Astyanax mexicanus: one gene and its partners. The protein of the gene in region 1 purifies or fractionates together with the protein of each later gene. This does not show direct contact. Links are inferred from orthologs where the notes say so. Each region holds a gene or a part of one and is shown on either strand. Other genes may lie near its edges.

Evidence for each region. The genes of interacting proteins can lie anywhere in the genome.
Region 2: the proteins of nup107 (region 1) and nup37 purify together in Homo sapiens (affinity purification with mass spectrometry; 7 studies listed by BioGRID and IntAct, with this or other methods). This does not show direct contact. The link is inferred for Astyanax mexicanus from reciprocal best matches to the Homo sapiens genes NUP107 and NUP37.
Region 3: the proteins of nup107 (region 1) and seh1l purify together in Homo sapiens (affinity purification with mass spectrometry; 5 studies listed by BioGRID and IntAct, with this or other methods). This does not show direct contact. The link is inferred for Astyanax mexicanus from reciprocal best matches to the Homo sapiens genes NUP107 and SEH1L.

The regions. Positions count from the first base shown.
Region 1 is NC_064409.1:23,502,291-23,510,366, forward strand, and holds the start of nup107 (nuclear pore complex protein Nup107), read right to left. Parts: upstream 3,727-8,076; 5' UTR 3,631-3,726; coding exon 3,623-3,630; intron 1,054-3,622; coding exon 965-1,053; intron 18-964; coding exon 1-17. UniProt on the Homo sapiens protein: Plays a role in the nuclear pore complex (NPC) assembly and/or maintenance. Required for the assembly of peripheral proteins into the NPC. May anchor NUP62 to the NPC. Involved in nephrogenesis.
Region 2 is NC_064409.1:2,712,635-2,721,114, reverse strand, and holds the start of nup37 (nucleoporin Nup37), read right to left. Parts: upstream 3,897-8,480; 5' UTR 3,704-3,896; exon of another isoform or gene 3,561-3,703; intron 3,414-3,560; exon of another isoform or gene 3,198-3,413; intron 2,103-3,197; exon of another isoform or gene 2,100-2,102; 5' UTR 2,054-2,099; coding exon 1,898-2,053; intron 1,795-1,897; coding exon 1,670-1,794; intron 634-1,669; coding exon 561-633; intron 1-560. Other genes in the region: PCNA-interacting partner, read left to right, coding at 6,186-6,335, 7,816-8,049, 8,171-8,284. UniProt on the Homo sapiens protein: Component of the Nup107-160 subcomplex of the nuclear pore complex (NPC). The Nup107-160 subcomplex is required for the assembly of a functional NPC.
Region 3 is NC_064410.1:33,193,803-33,202,345, reverse strand, and holds the start of seh1l (nucleoporin SEH1), read right to left. Parts: upstream 3,897-8,543; 5' UTR 3,706-3,896; coding exon 3,595-3,705; intron 2,187-3,594; coding exon 2,136-2,186; intron 2,004-2,135; coding exon 1,857-2,003; intron 911-1,856; coding exon 699-910; intron 455-698; coding exon 356-454; intron 1-355. Other genes in the region: ptpn2b (tyrosine-protein phosphatase non-receptor type 2), read left to right, coding at 5,423-5,479. UniProt on the Homo sapiens protein: Component of the Nup107-160 subcomplex of the nuclear pore complex (NPC). The Nup107-160 subcomplex is required for the assembly of a functional NPC.

The DNA.
Region 1 (8,076 bases):
ATCCTGAGCAAGTGGGACTGAACACACGGTTAAGAAACAAACAATGCACTGGAACTGTATAATATGGAGTAATATATAAATATACCATATAAACACTAGAGGTATGTGTTTCTGAAGAGGACAGAATACTTCTTTAAAAAAATAATTATAATTATGGATCTTTTAGTTTTACAGAATTAATTATCCAATATTCTTCATCACAGGTCAACCCTATTCATTAGTTTAGCACCAACATGTGGAGCAATGAAGCAGTTACTTTAGTAAAGCAAATTTGAGTATAAAGCAAAAACAAAAATGACGAGGCTATGAAGATGAGACTCGATATTGGGTTCAAAATATATGTGTGAAACATATGATAGATAGATAGATAGATACTTTATTTATGCCGAAGGAAATGTAGGCATCCAGCTGCAACAGCACAATACAATAAGAAACATGTTAAACATAAATTAAAACACAGAAGAATAGAAAACACAAAGCTATAAAAAACTTATTATACAACGTAAAGATCTACCTGTTAACCGAGCAGTGCAATAGATGTTGCTAACGGTCATTAAATAATTAACAGAGCAAAGTGCAAGGTGCAATGACATTGATTATAAAAGTGACCGATGTGCCATAAAAATATAAATATAAATATAAATATGCATATCTTACAAATAGGTCTGTGAATATGTGAATACCCAATCATGAGTAACTGTACTTGAAAGTAAGTGAGGTTGGGGAAGTGATGGTGTAAAGAATTGAAACACACAAAGCAAACTTAAAGTCTTGCAAGACACATTTAACACCTGATGAGAAATATTGAGACGAGGGTTCATGGCAGAGGTTTGACTGCATGAGCTCTGGAGGATAAGAGATTTATACAAAATCTAACCAAGTGGAAAAATAAAGCAAGTGGTCACTTCAGCTGCAGGCTCTGCAATCTGAGCAGCCAAAGTCCAGTAAATTTAGGTAAGGATACAGGCCACCTTTTTGTGTGAGCTTTTCCTGCGTGCGGCTCGAGTCACCTCCGAGTCTCGAACAACAGGAGAGTTCAACCAGTTCTGGCTCCTACAAGAAAACAACAGGGAAAATACATAAGCATTTGGATCTGCAAATTATTATCGAATATATTACTAATATAATGCATATGGTGGCAACATCAATATTACACTGAACTGTACAGATTTTAAGATCTAAAAAGCATCTCAAAAGCAAAAAATGGATCAAATCATAACTCTCTTGACCAGTTCACATGATCTTAACACCCTGATTTAAGGAAACAGGTCCTAGCACTCCCAAGCTGCCAAAAATATTTTTACTTACAGGGTCTATGTATTGGCAAACAAAACTTCTCTATTTTTGATGAATGCTATTTCCAGTATGCTCTACAGTAACAGTGTTCAAATTTGAATATGCACAATCCTCACTGCTGTCCATATAAATGACTTTGCAGCCTTATATAAAATCTGTTGCAAGGTCTGTTCAATTTTATGTAAGGTTGTACCAAAGTGAACATTTTTGGATAAAACCAAACCAAAACAAACAATACCAAAATTATCAATTGGTCAAAGAACAAATAAATAAATAAAACATTTATTCACAGGTTTTAATTAATTAATTAAATTGTCTGAATATATTTTGTCCTAAATTTACAACTTAAAAATATTTATTAAAATTTTACACTCAGAAAAAAATATTCAGGCTTATTCAGCTGAACACCTAAAGAGTTTTGTATTTTGCCATTTTTGGCTAAAATATTCATTTTAAATCCAAAACCAAAATGTCAAATGTCAATTACAGAACAAATTAAATACATAAAAAAGTGTGATACAGGCTTTTAATTAAAAGTCAAAAGCAATAACAAACCTAAAATTTACGAATATGTATGAACACTGTTGTAGAAAAGAAAATGAAAGGTGGGTCAACACCTCCCTCTCGACCGGGGTACAACTCCCCTGCGTGTTCGTTTGATAGAGAGAGTCAGACAGGTGGAGTGAAGTTGAAAGCAAACCAAGTATTTATTACAAAGTACTGAATATTCAGGAGAACCCACACATGAAAGACCGTCTAACAGCCGTCCCAGCATAAGTTCTGACCCCCCTCTGATCTGACTCCATGTTTTATACCCCAAATGACGTGAAACCTGCTGATGAGGCGTTGCTAACGATTAGCTCATGTTAATATGCATAATTTCACGTGTTAGTACTCAAGTTTCACAGGTCTGACCGGACCACTAGTGTTTGGCCTTGACTGTGTTCTTCCAGAATGGAACATCGTGGCACTATCTGTGTGAGTGTGCGTCACCCCCCTCTTTGAAGCCGCTGCAGGTTCCCCCACACACAGAAGGCCGCTTTGATCTAAAAGCCTCCTCTGTAGAAATGTAGTCTCTTACCGAGTGTACCAGTCGAGTTGATGACCGTTAGTTAGGGTCATGCAGTGAACGAAATGCTTCAAGCATGAGCTACGCAATAGTCACACAATAGATTTCATATGTTATATGTTAATGTGTTAGTAACGCGTGGTTAGTCCGCCATATAATAAATCCTATGTGTTAGTAAATGCCTTATGTATCATGTGGGTTAATTTGTCATATAATAGAGTCTGTGTTAGTCACATGCCTGATCAAACAATGTTTTACTATATATGTAAAGAATATATTGTGATTATTGGTTAATCTTCTATATAATTGCGTGTAAAATACACTGTGAGTAAAAATGATCAAATGTAAGGTGAGTATTGGTTAATGCATATAAAATACAAGGTTTCACACAATGATTATGTAATTATAGATACTAAGATAAGTAATCATAACTGAAAGATATTTGTCAATACACCCAAAGTATAATAAACAGTTACTCTTCAACACTTAAGCACTTAACATTTTTAACATCCCAGCAGATATGTCCACAATGCACAACAAAAACACTGAAAGTGTTTCTGTTTTGTGTCATTTTTGGCCAAATTAGCCATTTAATTTCCCCAACATCAGGTGAATCCCTACATGTTTCTGTTTGTATATCAAACGAGAATCAGGTATAGGCCCTTTAACTTGCATATAATAATAGAATGAGGAGTCACTTATTCCACTTAACTAATAACGTTACATCTATTCTGATCCTCTCGCTGTAAAGATTTAACATTAATAAAGTCACAGAATATTAAATTAGTTATACACCAAACTCTACTCAATCACTATATATGAAACAATTATTTACAATCAGTGGAATATAAGTTATAGAAAACTCAACTTTAATCTAAACTATCTGTAACTGACAGCTTCTTCTATAAAGCTGAAATTACTGCTCTGTGCTGTAGTTCTGTAGTGCTACAGATTTTAGGTGGATACAGACCCCTTCACAGCACAGCTGCAGTACAGGAGTAAAACATGCAGACTGATAAATAAGTAAACAAATAAACAGTGATGATTAGTCTGAGCTCAGACCCACAGTACAGTACAGTCAATTAGGCTAGTTAGCTTAGCACTGCATGCTAATCGCTAACAGTTAAGTTAACTTGGTACTGGTGCAGAAGCTCAGCCTGTACAGTGGTTGTAATCTAAGTTTGAGAGGCGAAATATTAATAAATCTGATTAATAATAATATCAGCGCTGTTAATCACTGATTATTGATTCATTTACCAATCCATGCTGAGCTCGTGCCGCGGGATTTGCGCCTTCTCTGTTTCTTCCTCTCCTTCACCGCTTTTACTCCAACCTGCTCCCGCTCTCTGCTGCCCCCAGCGGCCCCCAGCTCAACCCCACTGAAAACCTATGGAATGTAATCAAGAGGAAGATGGATGGATGATCACAAACCATCAACCCAAGCTGAACTGCTGGAATTTTTGAGCCATTTTTGAGTGGCATAAAGCATAAAGTCGCCCAAAGGCAGTGTGAAAGACTTGTGGCGAGAATGCCAACACACATTAAAGCTGTAATTATGGTTATTCTACAAATTATTGATTCTGAACTTTTCCTTAGATAAAACTTTAGCATTGTTACTGTTTCTAAATAAATATGAACTTCTGTAAGGTTTGAAAGATCTGCGTCTTTTTCGTTATTTTAACCATTTCCCATTTTCTGCAAATAAATTACAATATTTTTATTTGGAATTTGGAAGAAATGTCATCAATAGTTTATATAATAAAACCACAATGTTCATTTTATTCAAACATAAACCTGTAGAAAACAAAATCAGAAAAACTGATTACTTTGAAGTGGTCTCTTAATTTTTTTTTTTCCAGAGCGCTCTCTCTCTCTCTCTCTCTCTCTCTCTATACACACACACACATAGTGGTGTCAATCGATTAAAAAAAATCCGATTAATCACAACAAAATTCTGTAATTAACTTATATGAGAGAGTATATGAGAGAGAGAGAACTCTAACCAGGTCTGAGCTGGAAGTCTGAACCGGAGTGTTACTGCTGGACACCGTATGACTGTTCAGTCGTTCAGCCAGAAAACAGATCAGTGTGCTGGGCAGGGGCGGGGCAGATTATGGCGGAAGTAGGAGTCGAACTTGGCGCCTTAATTAACTTGCGTTAAAAAACGCGTTATTGATTACAAATTAACAGCGTGCGTTAACGTTGACACCCCTAATATATATATATATATATATATATATATATATATATATATTTTTGCGGCCCGTTTCCTTTTATGGAGCGGCCCGCGAGGTGTTTTAGAAATAGAATGAAAGTTGGCCCGCTGTTAAGCAGGTTTTTATAATGTGAGAACCTAAGTTTGAACGCTAGGTGTCAGAAACGGGCCAAAGAGTCTAAAAGCAGAGAGAGTGAAGTTTTAGCGCAGAAAAACAGGGCAAAGAGTCTAAAAGTGGAGAGGGTGCGCGTTTCTAGCGCAGAAAAACGGGGCAAAAGAGTCTAAAAGCGGAAAGAGTGTGCATTTCAAGCACAGAAAAACGGGGCAAAAGAGTCTAAAAGCGGAGAGAGTGCGCATTTTTAGCGCAGAAAAAACAGGCCAAAGAGTCTAAAAGCGGAGAGGGTGCGCATTTCTAGCGCAGAAAAACGGGGCAAAGAGTCTAAAAGCGGAGAGGGTGCGCATTTCTGGCGCAGAAAAATGGGGCAAAGAGTCTAAAAGCGGAGAGAGTGCGCATTTCTAGCGCAGAAAAAACAGTCCAAAGAGTCTAAAAGTGGAGAGAGTGCGCATTTCTAGCGCAGAAAAATGGGGCAAAGAGTCTAAAAGCGGAGAGAGTGCAAATTTCAAGCGCAGAAAAACGGGGCCAAAGAGTCTAAAAGCGGAGAGGGTGCGCATTTCTAGCGCAGAAAACCAGGCCAAAGAGTCTAAAAGTTGCCGTAATTAAGGAGTTTAATTTTAAGAGAAATCAAGAAATTAAACATCAATTTAAAAAATCTTAGTTTACACAACACTGTCAAATATAAAGATAGTAAGTCAAGTAAAATGGTGTGTAAATGAAATAATCAGGAAAAAAGTATTATTTAAAGTGGTATATTTCATTATTTGTTTTATTACGGAGTGTGGCAAGTGACTTCAAATATATTTCTCCTTCTGGCCCCCAACAAAAAAAGTTTGAACACCCCTGAGTTAGGATGTTGAATGATCACCACCCTACCTAATCCCCAACTCCTTAACTTATCCCATCTATTAGTATTAGATGGAGCTCCATCATTCCAGAGAACACAGTTCCACTGCTCCACAGATCAATACTAGGGGCTTTATACCCTCTAGCCCACACCTGATATTAGGCATTAAACTTGATCAAATAACTTATGTTAATGTTGTCTAATCTAAACATTTTTATAATGTTTTTTGTTACCTGGGGACCCTCTAACCCTGTGAACAGAAGCTGATCTTGAACTGGATTTGTGAGAATAGTAGGATTTACCACATAGTTGGATCCAGGATCAGTGTGTGGATCAAACTCATTCAGATTTAGTTCACAAACAGCACAATGCCAGCTCACCAGGGCACCCAGACACACAACTGTTCTATATAACACTGCTATTCAGAAATGAGAGCCTCTCACTGGAATTTAACAGAGTGCTCAGACACAAGAGGGCGCTCAGGTATGAGATTTAGGCCTCTGTGCTGGTGGAGCTGTTGAATGAATTAGTAATGTGTAAATATTTCCCTAAGCTTCTGTGCATTTTAATACATAATTACTGTTCATGTGCTGAATTTAACCTATTAGAATCTTTGCACATGCCAGATTTTACAGTATTTCATATTTTAATCATTTGTTCAATTCAACAAATAAACAGTAATTGTGTATTGAAATGCACAGAAGTGTGTCACCGTAGAGGATTTGTTCAGTTATTATATCATCAATACAACAGTGTGTACTTTGTGCACACCATATGGACAAACGTATTGGGACATTTTATATCTGGATGTGGGAATATTGCATACTAATGTTCCCAGAATATTATCTGAACCTTATTTACAATGATAGTTTAACATCCTAGGAACATTCTTAGTCAGAACATTCAAAATTACATTCTTAAAAAGTTCCATTTTGGTTGTGGGAATGTTGCATGTCATTGTACTTGCAACAGATTAATGTCCAGTATTCTTAATGTTCCCAGAATGTCTTTCTAAAGTTATTTTACCCCAACCTTACTTGCAATGGCAATTTATTGTCCTAGAAATGCTGTATTGTACTAGGAATGTTGTACCTCAGAATGTTTTCAAAACATTTTAAATTACATTCTCAGAATGTTCCTCCAACATTCCACTTTGTTTGTGGGACTGCTCCATGTTAATGTAATCTAAACTACAATTAGCTTAGCTTTGTAGAATGTTACCTCGTAACATTCCCAAAATGTTTTTCCAAAGTTATGAGAACGTTCCCAGAAAGTCACCTCAACGTGTCATTTACAATGACAATCTATTGTTCAAGGAATTGGATTATACTTGGACATTTTCAGACCATTTCTGAGAACATTCTGAGAACATTTAAAGACATTTCCAGAATATTCTCCTAATGTTCCATTTTGGTTGTGGGAAGGTTGCTACTTTTTTTCCTAATAAGAACGTCTTTCCAAAATTATGAAAATGTTCACTAACCTTCACAACTGAATGTTTAAGGAATGTTCTAAAAAACTTTCTGAGAACATTTAAAATAATATTTTCATGCCATTGTGAATGTCTTTTCTTGGATACTTTTGCCAGGGTTTAAGCACTGCATTCCAGGAACACCCCACAAGACCTGCTTGATGTTCTGGAAATGTTCTGACCCAGGCATTGTCTAGAACTTTAAAGTTTAGTTTTTGTTAAAGTGTCTCAGATTCTTACGCTTGTCCATTTTTCCTGCTTTAACACATCCACTTTAAGAACAAACTGTTCCCGCCTAATATATACAGTGGGTACGGAAAGTATTCAGACCCCTTTAAAATTTTCACTCTTTGTTTCTTTGCAGCCATTTTACTTTATTTTCATTAATGTACACTCAGCACCCCACCTTGATAGAAAGAAATTTAGACATTTTTGCAAATTTATTAAAAAAGAAAATCTGAAATATTACATGGTCATAAGTATTCAGACCCTTTGCTCAAGATTGAGTAAAGGCACCCTTTTGAGCTAGAACAGCCATGAGACTTTTCGGGAATGATCTAACAAGTTTTTAACACCTGGATTTGGGGATCCTCTGCCATTCATCCTTGCAGATCTTCTCAAGTTTTTACAATTTCAGGTCTCTGTCTCTCCAGAGATGCTCAATTGGGTTTAGGTCATCAAGAATGGTCACAGAGCTGTTCCGAAGCCACTCCTTTGTTATTTAAGGTGTGTGCTTAGGGTCATTGTCTTGTTGGAAGGTGAACCTTCGGCCCAGAGGACTCTGGAAGATGTTTTCCTTGTACTTGGCTGCCTTCATCTGCAACCAGTTATCCTGTACATGTAGCTGAAAAACACCTTCATAGCATAATACTGCCACCACCATGTTTCGCTGTTGGGGTTCTATTGGGCAGGTGAGGAGTAGTGCCTGGTTTTCTCCACACATACCACTGCATCCCTGGAGCTCAGCCACAGTGATCTTTGGGTTCTTCTTTACCTCTTTCACCAAGGCTCTTCTCCAATGATTGCTCAGTTTGGCTGGACAGCCAGGTCTAGGAACAGTTCT
Region 2 (8,480 bases), about 21 Mb from region 1:
AAGATAAAACACAGAGAACTCTGTAACTATAAAGAGTAGACGTTCTTTTCTTCAGAGAAATTACAGCTAAAGCCAGAGAGCGATGAGTACTGTTTCCTACACCTTCAAAAGGAAACGCTTGGAAACTGGAGAAAACAGTTAGACTGCTACAGGAAGACGTCTGGCTGACCCACATGGAAACAGCAGCTTTAGCCTTTAACTCAGATTAACATTGGACTTAGTCTCAGTTTCACACTTTATGAATTTATTTTTATTTATATATATATATATACACACATAATGACTAAAACAAGTTTTTTTTGTTTGTTTGTTGCTTTGGGAAACACTTTTAAATCACTTTTGTTGGGGCCATCATGATAAAGCCTTTTGTTACAAAATAAAAATGTAAAAAATATATATGTATTTTTTTCTCTCCAAAAATATAATACATGCCATAGAGGGTTATTTAAAAAATAAAAATAAAAACCCAGAAACAAATCACTTGTTTTAAATCACATTGGCTTTGTATTGGTGTAGTTTTGCATATGTGCATCTATGTGCTTAAAGAATGGATAAATTACCTTTACTTCATGCCGGTTCTGAAGATCTGAAGTAAACAGCCTTAACTTTCGGTCACCTGCAGCAGTGCAAAATCTGGAACATTAACAGCAAATGTGCCGCCGGATTGATTATCAGCATTATTTAATGAATCAGATGCATCCAGGCTAATGAAAAGAAATCTCATCATGCAGCCAGAAAACGAGACCGAAACCCTAAACACACATATATATATATAAGGTTGAGTAGATGAAACATGAAATTTATCTTGGGTTCATACTGTCTGGAATCAGATAAAGTCACAAATAACAGTACGTAAACTTAGACAGTAATAAATATTGTTAAATGGTTCATTAATGTCTCAATACATTATTAACAGACACTAGTTAAGACAATACCATTAAACATCAATACATTTTAACGCTTAAAAATGTTAACACTTAATAATTATTAGTTGTAAATGCACCTTTATTGTAAAGTGTTTGACACACTGCATTGCAAAATATTTTACTTACTGTCTCAACTTTTTTTCTGATTTTGTGCTGTACTTAATAAAGCAACAGACATTATTTAATGTGTATTTAAGCAGTTCGCATTCTTGCACTAAACTGTACATTTACACAGTGCATTGCAGAGGTGGGCGATATGGTCCTAAAATAATATCACGATATTTTATGATATTTTCGAGGTAACGATATGAAAAAAAAAAAACTGAATTAAAAAAATACTTTAAGAATACAATACTGTAACAAAATGAAAATTACATTTTATGATTGCATCCAATATGATATGGCACACCTCTAACTGAGATATAAAAAATTACAAGCCTTTTATCAGATTTGTAACAGATCCAGTCATTGATCCATAATGTCATGATACTAATAATAATAATGCACTCCAGATATCTCCAGATATCCAGGATTAAAGTAAAATAAATGATACTGGACAGATATAATCTGTCTCTAGTAGATATATAGTGGGAAATTAGAACAGTGTGAATTTTTCTTTTGCTAAAAACAGTCTAAAAGTAGTACCAGTACCCTCATGTGATAATTAGGGATGGGTAATATGGCACGATATTTCAGGATTCACGATATTTAAAAATGTGTGACATATTATTGCCATTATATACCTGATAATCTGGGGTATTTTATCCAACCTCGTCTCTGGACTCCATGCAAGAGCATCCACACGAACCCCGTGCACAAAGGCACGTAAAGTGTTAAATTCTACTCCTTCTACCTCCACATCTTCCTCCTGCAAAGACAAACAGTCTTTCATTTACTTAAACTTTACAGAATGTAAAATTTCCTGTGTGTGAAAAAAAAAAAAAACTCCATACATTAAACACTGCTCTTACCTTAAAGCGACAGGTGCCCACCACTACATACTGATTCCCCCCGTACGCCAGGAGAGAAGCTGCAGAGCCGCAGTCGTACGGGCTGAACTCCACCACGTGGACGTAGTCTTCACAGGGTACGGTGTAGGTAGATGAGCGACTCGGATCCTCCTGCATTCTGATTCTGCATCAACTGTAGCTCTCCTGTTGGTCTTTAGTTTAACTACTGGAGGAAAAATAACAAAAGCACAAATATAGAAACAAGTTAGCCATCAGACTCAGTATTTTAGATTAAAAATACTGTACAATATTGAGTAGCGACTAAATATTTACACCTAACTCTGAGCAGCAGAAGAAAGTTATAACTAAAACTAAATGAAAACCAATATGTGTGTATATAGGTTCTTTGGAGCTTCTAGCAGGAGGAAACAACATTAATAACATTAATAAAATAGCAGTACAACTAGGGGTGGGCAAGATTATATCGTATACAATATATCGTGACACAGAAATATCATGATATTAAAAATCCATATCGTGATAATAGGGATGGTTTGTCTTAAAAGTAGTCCATTATTTACTGTGAAGCTTTAGGTGTATTTATTGTATAATTGTTTTAGTTTATAGTTTTTGTTTGCAGTTTATATGCATGAAAATATACTGCAATATTTTTTGCTGCATTATATTATTTTATGCTATATCATTTATTTTGCCACATCATGATTATACTGTTATACTATTATACTATATTCCTGAAATTAATTAATTATTTTTCTGTTTTCCTATACAGCCAAGTATATTGTTATCGCAAAAATACCCTGAAATATCGTGATATTATTTTAGAGCCATATCGCCCACCCCTAAGTACAACCCATATACACTATAAACTTTACATTATGCCATATATTACCCAATAAAACATGCTGTTAAGGCTGTGATAACTACTTAAATATTTTTCCATACATTGTAAACACATCTATGCTGGTTGACAACCTTATTTTCTTGGCAACAATCTGTGACAATCTGTAACTAACTCTGCACATGCATTAATACGTTTTTACTAGTTAACCCTTTCAGATCTGAGTTATATTCCAGTGATGAAAAAAAATATATAAAACATCATTGGCTGGTTCATGCTCTATTCCAATAGAATAGAACAGTTCAAAAAATAAATAAATAAAAGAATAGTAATAATAATACGTGATGTCCACTATAATAGACAAAGGGTTTGAAAGGGTTAAGAAGGTTAAGGGTTAAAAAAGATTTGTTTAACATTAACAAATGTAAGTGATATGTATCTGTATGTAATGTGAATTGATACCTGTATATATAAAAAAAACTTAAATTAGAGAGACGAGAGACTCGTAGCTTTATAAAGGGTTATAAATGGATGAGTTAGCAGCTCATATGTGGAGCATCTTTTGCTGGAGTGGAGAGTAAACAGCTGCTCTGAAGTTCATGTTCAGGTCCAGGAGGTGAAAAAAGGACAGGTGGTTTGCTTTTGCTGTTTTTTTTTTTTGCAGCTATAGCTGCACCAAGAGATGTGAGGGTTCTAAAGAGAAGAGAGAGACGTACGTAGTGCATGCATAAAGGATTAATATACAACATACGGGTTTATGTTGCAGACAGATTTAAAAAAAAATAGTAACTAACGTAACTAAAGACTCAGTAAAACTTTACTCACAAACTTAAGAAGAAACGTACGCAAAAATCGGTGTAACCCAGCCCAGTTTAGCTAACCTAACTAGCTAATTACTCAGACTCACTCTCAGCATTAGCATTAGCTATAGTGACACACTGGTACTGATAGATAGCTTAGCAACTTACTCAGTTTAAGGCGGAGAGCATTAACTGTAGGCAGTGAGAAAGACTGAGCCGAAAATTATAGTTATATTAAACACATATTAATCCCACAGAGCCCTGTTTACTGACTGAATTAATAATAATCCCAGAGTTATTAAACCCAACGCGCCCTCCACCACGTTCAAACCGGTTCACTGTTTACATCCGGGTCCTGCAACTCTTTCCCCGCCTAGAACAGGAGTCTGCGCAGACTGCGCGCTTTCACTGATCTACAAATTATACCACAGTACATCCAGTACAGCAGATGATCTGTAGATCAAACAAACCCCTCAAATAGCGCCTGCATGGTTTCCACTACAGGATTTATAATCTAGCTAAATTATGGTCTTTTTTTCTGTATGCGATTTTCACTTCATATATATATATATATATATATATATATATATATATATACATACTAGTGCATGTAAAAAAATAGAATATAATTTAAAACTTACTTTATTTCAGTACACACAGAGTGATCTATTGTATGTGTTTATTTCTTTTATTGTTGCTTTCAGCCAATGAAAACCCAAAAAATCAGTGTCTCAGAAAATTAGAATATTATATAAGACCAATTGGCACTTTTGGCAGTGTGGGCAGTGTGCCAAGTCCTGCTGGAAAATGAAATCCGCTTCTTGGGAAGCATGAATTGTGGTAAAAGTTTCTGGGAGAACACTACACTAACTTTGGACTTAATATAACACCGTGGAGTAAATTTTACATTTCTTTTGAAAATCTTCTTTTGGGACCAGAGTCTGGAGGAGGAGTGCAGAGACACACAGTCCAAACCGAATTTGTCAGTGATGTTTGATTTTATATTAAGTTTTTTACAGGGTGATACTAAGCACATTAAAATTAAAAACACATATAATATCAAAGTGTTATCTTACTTTACACCACAATGGATCTTAATTGAAATGAGCAATTTGAGGGAATTGTCGTTTTATAAAAAAAAAAACAAATAATAATAATCTTCCAAATATTAAAGTGGATCATTAACGTAGGATTAAATCGACATTTGTGAAAAATATAAATGCATAGCATTGTACAATAAAATAAAATGAAGAAAGCATTCCTAGACACGGAACACCAAATATGCGAGGACTATAAACATGAGCGGACTACAGGATGATGCATCACTGCAGGCGCTACTCAGTAGCGCGCTCTCTGAAAAGGGGGCGCGGCTACAACGGGTACTTGAATCTGATTGGCTGACGTGCGTGTTCCTGTGGATTTAAATTTTAAGACGGGTTTGGGGACAGTAACACAGCACAGCTGCTACAGTTCAGAGGAACAGGATAAAGTTTTAACTAACGCTCTCTAAACACAGTATTAACCTCTCTCTGAAAGAACACGTGCGGTAAGTTTTATTGCAGATTAGCTGATCTAGATTATAGCTTTGTGTGATCTGTTAAAGTAACGTTAATAAGGTGACTGTTTATGTATTTATGTGATTTTATCCAGAGAACTACACTCTAAGAAACTGTGCCTCTACCTTATATTGAGGTACAATAAAGTAACGTTACCTTTCAGTGAAACGCTTTCTTTGTACCTATGTGTTTTGTACCTGTAAAGATTATAATCACTTTAGTTTCTGAATCAGTTCCTCTGATTTTGCTATTTATAGGTTTATGTTTGAGTAAAATTAACATTGTTGTTTTATTCTATAAACTATAGACATTTCTCCCAAATTTTCCCCCAAAAATTTATTTATTTGCAGTAAATGAGAAATAACAAAATTCAGAGCTTTCAGATCTCAAACAATGCAAAGAAAACAAGTTCATATTCATAAAGTTTTAAGAGTTTAGAAATATCAACAATATTTGGTGGAATAGCCCTGGTTTGTAATCAGTTTTTTTATGCATTTTGGCACCATGTTCTTCTCCACCAGTCTTGCACACTGCTTTTGGATAACTTCAACCTATTCCAGCGGTTTTCAATTTGATAAAATCAAAGAAACTCATAATTTTTAAGTGGTCTGAAACCCTCTCTAATATAATCAAGAGGAAGATGGATGATCACAAGCCATCAAACCACCAAACTGAACTGCTTGAATTTTTGCACCAGGAGTAAAGCAGCATAAAGTTATCCAAAAGCAGTGTGTAAGACTGGTGGAGGAGAACATGATGCCAAGATGCATGAAAATTGTAATTAAAAAACAGGATTATTCCACCAAATATTGATTTCTGAACTCTTCAAACTTTATAAATATGAACTTGTTTTATTTGCATTATTTGAGGTCTGAAAGCTCTGCATGTTTTTTGTTATTTCAGTCATTTCTCATTTTCTGCAAATAAATGCTCTAAATGACAATATATTTATTTGTAATTTGGGAGAAATGTTGTCTGTAGTTTATAGAATAAAACAACATTGTTAATTTTACTCAAGCATAAACCTATACTTTTCAATATTAAAGAATTGAAGGCCTGTAATGAACTTATGTAATGTCACATTTTTAAAGATCATGGGGAGCGTCGAGTTGAGCCTGAAAACAGTGGTCCGAGTTTTCAGAAGAGAGTGCCACCGGGTTCTAGACTCTGAGAGAACCATCATACATGGAGCAGACAGCATGCTGATGGTTCTACAGCTTTCTGCTGCTGAAGTCTGCAAACAGGTAATGTCTATTGTCTACAAAAACTGTGCATAAAGATTTATATACTTATTTAAATACAATATATTAAGAGTGATTTGATTGTCTCTAGCAGAATTGAGCTCTTATTAAAGATTAAAGGAGAAGTCTGGTGTAAAATAGACTTTGTTTGTAGTGAATAATGATGACATGTACAGTTGTTTTTTAGGCAAATACTCCACCTTCATTCACCCCCAGAATTCCCAAATACAGAGCTTTTAGCCGATGCTCCCAACAGACTTACAATGCTAGTGATGGGGGCATAGTTACCCATGCTTTGGGTATACATTGGAAACCTGCAGTGATTTTGTTTTATTTTTCTTTCTTTATTTGTTAATAAAAAAAGAAACAAACTGTGAGTATACTGTCTCATGCCAAAAACATAAAGCTAAGGAGTTTATTTTATTTTTGGGTATTAAGTATAATCATTATTATTGTGATCAGATGTTTGTGCCCTCAGATAACCTTTTACATCGATCCCACCATCATCATTAGGGAGGATGGATTGTGTTTTAGGCACAAGAATTTGTGTTGCAACCGGCCAATGTTACATTTCAGAGATTGAGGGGAAAAAATTGCATTTCATTTAAATGAACGTCTATTAAATGCATCTTAACCCTAAACTGAATGTGAACGATTCTCTGTAGAAGCTAACACTACACTCAATCCTAACCTCAACTGTGAATCAGCACTAAAACCTAAACCTAAACTTTAAAAAATGTTAAGATTAGAGTTAGGTGTTGAGTTACATTCAATAGAGAATCATTTACTTTTACAGAGTTCAGTTGCATTTAATAGAGATTCAGTTGAATGTTATTTGAGCATCTATGTATGATTTGGAATCATTGAGCCTTGTGTATTTTTATGTTCAATTTTTTTTTTTTTCCATTTTGGAGAATTTGAAAGGTTTTTTTTTTGGTCATTTTTTTCTGATGTGAATAACTATATACAACTCTGGGAAAACAAATGAGAGAGCACTTCAGTTTCTCCGATTTTGCTATTTTATAGGTTTATGTTTGAGAAAATAAATTCTCCAAAATTCCAAATAAAAATATTGTAATTTAGAGCATTTATTTGCAGAAAATGAGAAATGGCTCAAATAAGAAAAGTTTTCATGCATCTTGACATCATGTTCTCCTCCACCAGTCTTACACACTGCTTTTGGATAACTTTATGCTGCTTTACTCCTGGTGCAAAACATTCAAGCAGTTTAGTTTGGTGGTGTGATGGTTTGTGATCATCCATCTTCCTCTTGATTATATTCCAGAGGTTTTTAATTTGGTAAAATCAAAAACTCATCTTTGATGATATATTTTCTCTTAAACTAAAGGAAGAGAGATCCTGTAGATAAATGGGAAGGTTTTTTTCTTCTTCTTCTTCTTCCAGTGCAACTAAACTGTAAAGTTTTCCATTGCTTGGCCTGTAGTGTTCTTGCGTGTGATGCTTGTCTCTGCTTTTGCTCTAGGAAAGAGGAGACTTCGGTGTGGCTTTGAGCGACGTGCTGGTGGCTTGGAAATGCTTGCTTCTGGACAAGCTCCACCTGTCCCATGACGGCTCCCCTGCTTCAGAGAATTATGACCTCATCCGTAAAGAGTACGACAGCTTTCTGAAGCGCACCAACACGGTAGATCTGATCGACGTGTGTAATGCGTACAAGCAGTTGAGGCGAGATGAAGACCCAGAGGATCCTCTCACCGCAGTGAGTGCTGAGAGCAGTGTGTGGCGTCAGCCCGGCTCCCCCGAGGACGGGTTCTGGCATTCGTCTCCGCAGAGCATCATTTAACAAAGTCTCTTATTCCTGGTATTGTTTTCACACCTAGATGCAGCTGTTTGAGTTTCTGCATGGAAACGCAGAGGCCTCGGAAGAAGCTGAGCTGATGATCTCTCAGTGTCCCACCACCCCATCAAACCGAGCTCGCCACTGCCGCCCACAGGTAGGCTTTAGTATAGGATGGAGCAGATGAAGTGGAAAATGTAGAGTAATGGGATTTAGTGCTACAGACTAGCAGCTCTCCAGCCCAGAGGGTTGTTGAACCCAATTGCAGAACAGTTGATCTCAAAGCAGGTAAACCCAAGAAGAAAGGGAAAAAAATAAATAAATAAACAAACACACCTCTCCTCATGCGGAAT
Region 3 (8,543 bases), on another chromosome or scaffold:
GTTGGAGAAAAAACAACCCCAAAAAGTACAAAACCCCTTTTAAATGCTACTTATAATATGACCTCGCCAAATTCTTAGGTTTTGTTCAATAGATATGTAAGCTCTGCTAAAGGCAAATACATTAATAATCCTGACCTGATATAGACTCAGTCTGTCAGAAAACAAGACACATCTGACCACAGTTGGAGAGCACAGTAAACACTGGCTATATAAGTAAAACTATATGGCAAGCACATTTAACGTATTAATTACTTCTAAATTAACTAATTAAAAAAACTCAACATAAGTATCATCAGAAACTTGGACAGAATGGCAGATATCAAAAACAAACAGAAAACAGGAAGCGTGAATTTACCTGGTATTTTCATTGTATTCATAGATCTGTACTTTTCCACTGTAGGTCACATTGTTGTCATCACTACCCACAGCGATCATAGGAGGATGAGCACGGGAGCTGAATGACAGAACACACACAAGCTTTGATTTAAAAAATGAAATACAGAATATTTATCTCCTGCTAATTACATAGTTTTCCAAACTACTGTAAATAATATTGTCAGAATGTTTGAAAAACGTTTTTTTCGGCTGATTATCAAGCCGAAGCCGAGTTACATCTGCAACAAACTGTAAAACACATGCAAATACTGGATCAACCCCTTGGTTTACCATGGTAACACACAAAATACATAAACACACACCTGGAGGGGTTCCAGGAGATGCAGGAGCAGGAGAGCTTGCAGGATATCTCGTGCTGCAGACTCCACTGACTAAGGTTCATCACGTCTGGAGCTTCATAAATGCGCACCACTCCATCTGCAGAGCAAGTGGCCAGCACCAGGCCCATGTGCTTTGGTGCAAACTTCACATCTGTTACTGAAGTCCTGCTGTCCACCAAAGTTGTTCTCTTGATCTGCATGATGAGATTCTAATCAGTACTGATTACGGACATGAAATCAATATTTCAATACTAAAACCAGCAAATGGCATTCATCACAGACCGCTGTATTTTACTACTGGTGACAAATCTCAAACATCACAGAGAGCTCTACTGTACAATTTTTTTTTTTTTTTTTTTAATATAATTTTATTTCAAATTTTTCCCCATTTTCTCCCCAATTTACATGGCCAATTTCCCAACCCACTCATTAGGACTCCCCCTATCACTAGTAATGTCCCAACACACCAGGAGGGTGAAGACTAACACATGCCTCCTCCGATACATGTGAAGTCAGCCACCGCTTCTTTTCGAGCTGCTGCTGATGCAGCATTGCCGAGCAGCCAGCTCGGCAATACATCAGCTCACAGACGCCCTGTGCTGCAGACATCACCGTAGGAATGATGTGGGGAGAGAGCGCCATCTACCCACCCAGAAGGAGCAGGGCCAGGGCCAATTGTGCTCCCTCTAAGCGCCGACAGCTTAATGGCAAAGCTGCATGAGCGGGGTTTCGAACCGGCGACCTCCCGGTCATAGTGGCAGCGCTTTAGACCGCTGGACCACTCAGCACCCCAATTTCGTATTTATACTTGTAAAGCATTGCAGAAGAAGTTTACACACCTTATCTCTATTCACAGCTTTAAAAACATGGGAGAAGGCTGGACGGTTCTTTACACTATGAGGTTAATGTATCTAAGAAAAAAAATGGAAGCTTAGATCCTAATATACAGCATCATACCCAAATCATTAGAAATGTACTTCAAACCATGTGTAGTTGTTGGAAAGGAATCTCCAGCAGACCTGCTTATTTGTTTTATGACACTGTACTACAAATGTTACTGTAATGTGAACACCAGTGCAGACACAATTCAGGCTCCAAAATGACTGCTACTATAAATGAGTAAATTATTAGATGTGTTACCCAGTGACTAAGTCCTCGCTGTTTGTCGTTGGATTCGCCGACTATTTCTTCCCACACTGCTGCGGTGCGGTCAAAAGAGCAGGACGCCAGCACCTGTCCGAACTCTGGGTGAGCCCACGTCACTCTCCACACTGAGCCACTGTGGGTCTGAAAAGAAACCAACAGAAACCAAACCCAATGTTACTGTTAAAGCATAACTTGTGCATAATTTAATACCCAATCTGTAGGTTTGTGTACTTTTTTAGATATGAACAAAAGGTAGTAAAATTAAAAACTTGCCTTCCAACTGGCTGTGCAATGCCATTCTCCATCGTCACTTTTGTCCCAAACCTTCAAGCAAGACAAACATTTCTGTTAATCATATTTTAAAAGATCTTACTCGATTTTACAGTAATATTTATCTTTACAAATCTACTGAAATATGCTTCAGAAACCCATAAACTAACAGGTTTCAAGTAATGAAGTACAAATACTTTGTTGCCTTACTTATGCAGAAATTTCTAATCTATACATTACTGGAGTAATTATTTTTTAAACAACTTTTTACTTCTACTCCTTCCATTTTTAAAATAGCCTCATTATTCATATTTAATTTCAGCTTGTTTTTCCCTCTGGCTTCTCATCATTAAAAAAAACCCTATCCTTATAACTCTCTCCATCTAGTGTGAAGATGATCTGTATATAAAATAAATAAATAAACAAACTTGACCAAACTGTCCTACCTAAGCTACTTGAAAATATTCAAAATGCACTTAAATGCAACTATTTTAATGGGCATATATGCGTATCTCAAGATTTTTAACTTTAACATTTCAATATAACATTATAGTAGGGGTGGGCGATATGGCTCTAAAAAAATATCACAATATTTCATGGTATTTTCACGATAGTGATACTTTTGGCGATATGACAAAACACTAAATTAGAAAAAATATTTAGCTGCATGCAATATGATATGGCTAACTAAGATAAAAATATATATATATATATATTATTTTATCAGATTTATAACAGAAGTAAATGATCCAGAATGTCATGATACTAATAATGCACTCCAAATATTCAGGATTAAAGTAAAATAAATTATACTGGACAGATCTAATCTGTCTCTAGTAGCTATATAATACGAAATGAGAACAGTGTGAATTTTTCTTTTGCTAAAAACAGCACAAAAAGGAGCACCCTAATGTGATAATTAGGGGTGGGTGATATGTCACGATATTTCAGGGCAAAATGTTTGGCGATATTATCACGTACGATACGATATGGCACACCCCTACATTATAGTCATTATGGCTTTTACAAAAATGTGTTTTGGGGAGCAGGGAGTAGTTAACTATAGGCTGCTATAACACAACCTATACTTTTGTCCTTAATGGCATTTCCCCCCTTACATTACTTTTATACTTTAAGTAGTTTTAAAAGCATTACTTTTACACTTGAGTTAAAACTTCTAACTGTTACAGAAGTACTTTAAACCCCAGTATCTATACTTCTACCTTAGAAATGAATGTGAAGACTCTTGTCACCTTTTTGTTTAACAAAAAACATTGTGAGAACGAATATAGCTATTCATTTTTAGAAACGATGAATTTCGCTCTTCTCTGTTCTGCTTTTAGCATTAACAACATACATTCTGAGGTACCTATATGCTCTGTAAAATTTGGCTGCATTCCATACATATGGTAAGTTAAAAGGGGGGTGAATATAGGTGAATAAAGTGAAGGGGTGTGTTTACCTTCACGCTCTGGTCGCTGGAGCAGGTCGCCATCCTCCTGCCGTGGAAATCATAGGAAACATCGTGGATCAGATCTTTGTGATCTGCAGCGATGCTTCGCGCCACAAACATGCTCCTCTACTCTCCGTTCCTGATCGCTGTGAAAACACTGAATCCCTGTTCGCTCTCAGAAACAGAGTAAATACAGAACACCGCTTTAAACTTTTTAATGTTTCTGCTCACTTCTGGCGGGTCGCTCAGCAATGCGCCATTTTACCGCTCACTGCTGTTTCCTGCCAGTCAGAGACTCAGCAGCGCCGCTCTCAGAGCAGTAGGACTGGAGGAGCAACAGCAGCCCGACAGCGCCTCGGTCTGAACTCCACAATCTAGACTCTAATATTACAATAATTGTCATAGTAGAATATCCAAAGGTGGAGCTTTTAATCAATGCTTTATTGATTTAACGTATAAAAAAACACCACACATCTTTATATGCTACCATAAAGAAATTCAACTCCCTAAAATCAATGAAATCTAAAATTGCTAAAGATCCTTACAATTTACATAAAGATAACCACACTAATGAAGTGAACTAATTATTTTTATTGCCAGTTTGTTATTGCCTGTTTTCAATAATGCTTTATAAATATTATAATTTATAATTCATTCTGTTATGTTATTGTTATGTTTTGTATATTAATTGAGTAAATGTGTTGTTTCATAATACATTGCTGTCTTACAATTTGGTAATTCCCTACAGTTTTGTAGATCAGAAGTCTTCCAATAAAAAAAAATAGATTACTCTATTTCGATACTTTTCCTAGTTTATGTTTTTGTTTCACAACATTTTGGACTTTCATTTATACTTTTACTTTTTGTTTCATGTACATTTCATTTTATGTGCAGGTTGTACTAGTTACATTACATTGAACTGTATTTTTACTTTAACATTTATTTTAAGTGTAAGATTATTATTAACGAGTATTTTGTCGTTATTTTTACAGTTTCATTTGTAAAATGTATGTTTATTTTTATATCACTTTCCAACTTAGATTCTTTTGGAAATGTTTAGGCGCCACCCGCTGGACTGGGGTGATTTTACACAAAGCGAAAAGTGGCGCAGTAATATTTAAAAGATTGGTTTCTGGACTCTGTAAATAACTTTCATATTGAGTTTACTTTAAGCATATAGAAAAAAAATATGTTTTAATCAGTTGTTTTTATTATTAGTTCATATACAGTACATATTTTTATTTAATCCCCTTACTATTTTAAATAATTTATTTTATTTGTAATGGTTATTAAAAGAGCAAAAACACTAAAATGAAAAAAATTTCAATGTTTAAATTTGTTTTGTGCCTGCTTTGTGCTTCTAGTTAACTTTTTACACATAATTTGATTCGTAACAAACGGCTGTAGTGCATATTTTGGCTAACATATTTTGGGAGCGGTATAAGCTAAAAGGTATTTTCTTGTCAAAATAAATATATTTTAAAAATACACATTTTAATATTTCTATTGCAGTTTCAGATAGTTGGAGTTTGGTGTCTAAATAATTCTACGTATTTTTTCTTTTTTTGGAGTTGTACTTTTATTTTCTGTTTTGCTCGCTGGTCTGCGCAAATGGAGCGCCGATTTGCTGCGCAATTCAGTCAGCTAGATGTCAAACACGGGAAACCCGGACCGAGAGAGAGAGTGGAGTGTGTGAGTGAGTGTGTGCGTGTGTGTTTTTATTTTATTTATTTTTTTTATGTTCGTGGCTTAATGTCGGCGGTAGAAATGACTGATCCTTTATGATAGGGCTGTTTATTTTCTATTATACCGGACTAGAGTCTGAATAAACAGAGAAATGGACCACGAGTTTCAGGACATCGATTCAGAAGGCCGGTGGCATAACCTCTACATGGTAAATATTTTTTCGAGCATTAAAATTCTGTTTATTAACCAACCTTATAGCTGAGTTTAATATTAAACTAGCAAATTATACACATGCGTGACTCTACTCTACTAGCAGTACTTTCTCAAATAGTCAGCTGTACTGAGCTAACCTAGGTAAGTTAAGTTACTGAACAGTGAGATATTTAACTTAGTTTAGTTAAGCTTAATGTCAGTGTAAAACTAAATGTAAGGGTTTTTGTTGATTCTGCTACTTTCTTACTCTCAACTTCCACATCTTCATTATCAGCTGTGTACTAGCTGAATGTGTTTTTTACGCGTGTCATTCCAGTGTACCGCAATTAAGGCTGACTAAATAAAATAAAAAACTTGATGACTGGGATAGGGTAGGGGGTAGGTAATATAGATGCTGAGAATCGGCATAATAACAAATTGCAGCCATCAAAGTGCATGCTCTCTATTACAAACTACGTTTATAAGAAGACTAAGATGATTGACAGGGCACTGTTTATTTAAAACTTTAACTAGGTTAGCTATTAACTATTAAAACTGTTTAGTGTAAACTCTGCATTAACCAGACATATCAGTACATAACAAACTAAATTCTGATATGTGTTAGCTAACGTTAGCCTAGCTAGCTAAATAGTAAAAAATCGCTTTAAGCTTTAGTAGGTTACACAATGTTTAGTTTTATTGAATGTATCCATGTTTGAGATGTAGGTTAATTCCTGTTTTTAGAGAAAGAAAGAGAAAAGCGGGACACTGTATTTTACACATCTAACCTGGTTAACCTAGGTTAGCTTAGCTATCTCTAGCTAGCTAGGTTCACCTAACGTTAACTTTAACGCTAGCTAGGTTCTACTTGTAATTTACTCACACTGGTAGCAGAGGATCCTCAGTGAACCTTAATATAATGAGCAATACTGGCTAGCAAGCTAAATATTTGGTACTGCACGGTTTGCCTGCTGACACAGTATAATATTAATTTATGAAAAAGCGTTTCCCCTCTGCCTTTTTGAACTCCTTCAATGTTGTCTAGCTAACGCTAACATCTCGAAAACCATAGTGAACGGTGTGGATTTTACCATTACAGTCGCATGAAATACCACTGGAAATGCACTAACCCAAATTAGTTCCCTTTGTAAACACCTGCAACGTAACCTAAATATGTGCCTCATAGCTAACTTTGCTAACTTAGCTAGCGTTAGCTTAGCTAGTTCCCAAATCTCTCAAGGAGTGAAACTGACTAAACTAAGCTAAGCTAGCGCCTTTAGCCTACCCCCAACAGCAGCCGCCACACAAACTTTAAGGCAAGAACATGTCCAATGATACCGCCAGTTGATTTAGTGTTCAGTGTCATTAATCCTGAATTCATGCTGACTGGTACTTTTGCTACCTGGCTACGCTAAGCTAAAACTATGTTCATGGAGTGTATGTAGCGCTAGTGTAAAGTGAATTAGCTAAGCTAAGCTAAGATAGCTAACGCTAGAAGATACATCTCTGAAAAAAATACGAGACCACTTCAGCTTCTGTATCAGTTTCTCTGACTTTGCAATTTATAGGTATATGTTTGTAGTTTATAGAATAAAACAATGTTTATTTTACTCAGACAACAATTCGTGCCAAATTTCTAATAAAAATATTGTCATTTAGAGCAGTTATTTGCAGAAACTGCTCTGCTCTGAAACGCAGTTAAATAAACGTGGATAACTTGTTCATAACCAACACCTTCCTAATATTTAAAGTGCAAGATGATTTATAGTGTAATGTTAATAAGACAACAGGGCAAATTGTAGTCAGAAAGAAAATATAATGTTTCATAGGGCTGTGTAATACTGTTTTACAAAACTAGGAGATGATTTGCTGAATTGTTCTCTGTGAAACTAATACAAGTTACAGAATTTCATTACAGCATAAGGTGCAACACCTGTCATTCTCTTAAGGCTCTAATCAAAATAATATTTCAGTGTTTTCAGTATCCATCTGCAGTGGACAGTCAGCCAGTTTTATGTTTTTAATTTGTGATCTATGGCCACAGGTGTATTAAAATTATTAATATTATATAATATTTTTTAACAGTAAATATGGATAAATGTGTTTTTTCTAATAAATTGTATCAGCTTTACTTGATGGTTTCTGTTTTAGGTGCAGTGTCTTCTATACTGTAACTGTACTGGCATGAGAAAATGACATTAAAGGACTAGTTCAGCAAAAAAATCAAATAAAAATGAATGATCACTGACACCCAATACTCAAGTTTATAAACATAAAAATAAACTTTTCTACAGAGATGAATGGTGGCGTATCCAGAAATACTTTTACTTTAGTAGGGCTGGCCCGAATAGCGTTTTTTGAGCTCCGGATATTCGGCACTGATTCGAAGCGAATATTCGAATATTCGTTTTTAAAATAAGAGGTAAAAAAAAAAAAAAAAAAGGAAATCACGGCCCCTTTAATCCACTGAAAAATTTTCAATTTGCTCTGACCGACAAGACATATTCACCCCGGATTTTGGGTGTTTTTATCCCGGATTTTTGTGTTTTCACCCCAGATTTCTTTGTGTTTTCATCCCGGAATTTCTGCTGCCCTACACCGCGGCTTATCCGCTGCGTAAGCAGGCTAGGAGGCTGCTGCTGCATGGTTTCTCCGCTGCGCAAGCCAGCCCAGTAAATTGCTGTTTGTGTTTTCACACTTAGGCTATTTGCTTAAAAAAACAAACAAAAAAAACGTTTGTTCAGGAAGTATTTTATATTCTTAAACATTGTTAATTATATTAGAGGACAGTCATTGTAAACTGTACTTGGTCTATTTCGGTTAAAGGATTGTGCAGGGCATATTACTGATTTTGTATTTTTGCACTTGGGCTATAAGCTCAATATTAAATATTTCGTTTGTTTAGAAATTATTTTATATTTTTAAACCATGTTAAATTATATTAGAGTAGAGGAAAGTCATTGTTAATGACGTTATTGTACTTGGTCTATTTCGGTTTAAGCATTGTGCAGGGCATAGCCGTATTACTGATTTTGTATTTTTGCACTTGGGCTATAAGCTCAATATTAAATATTTCGTTT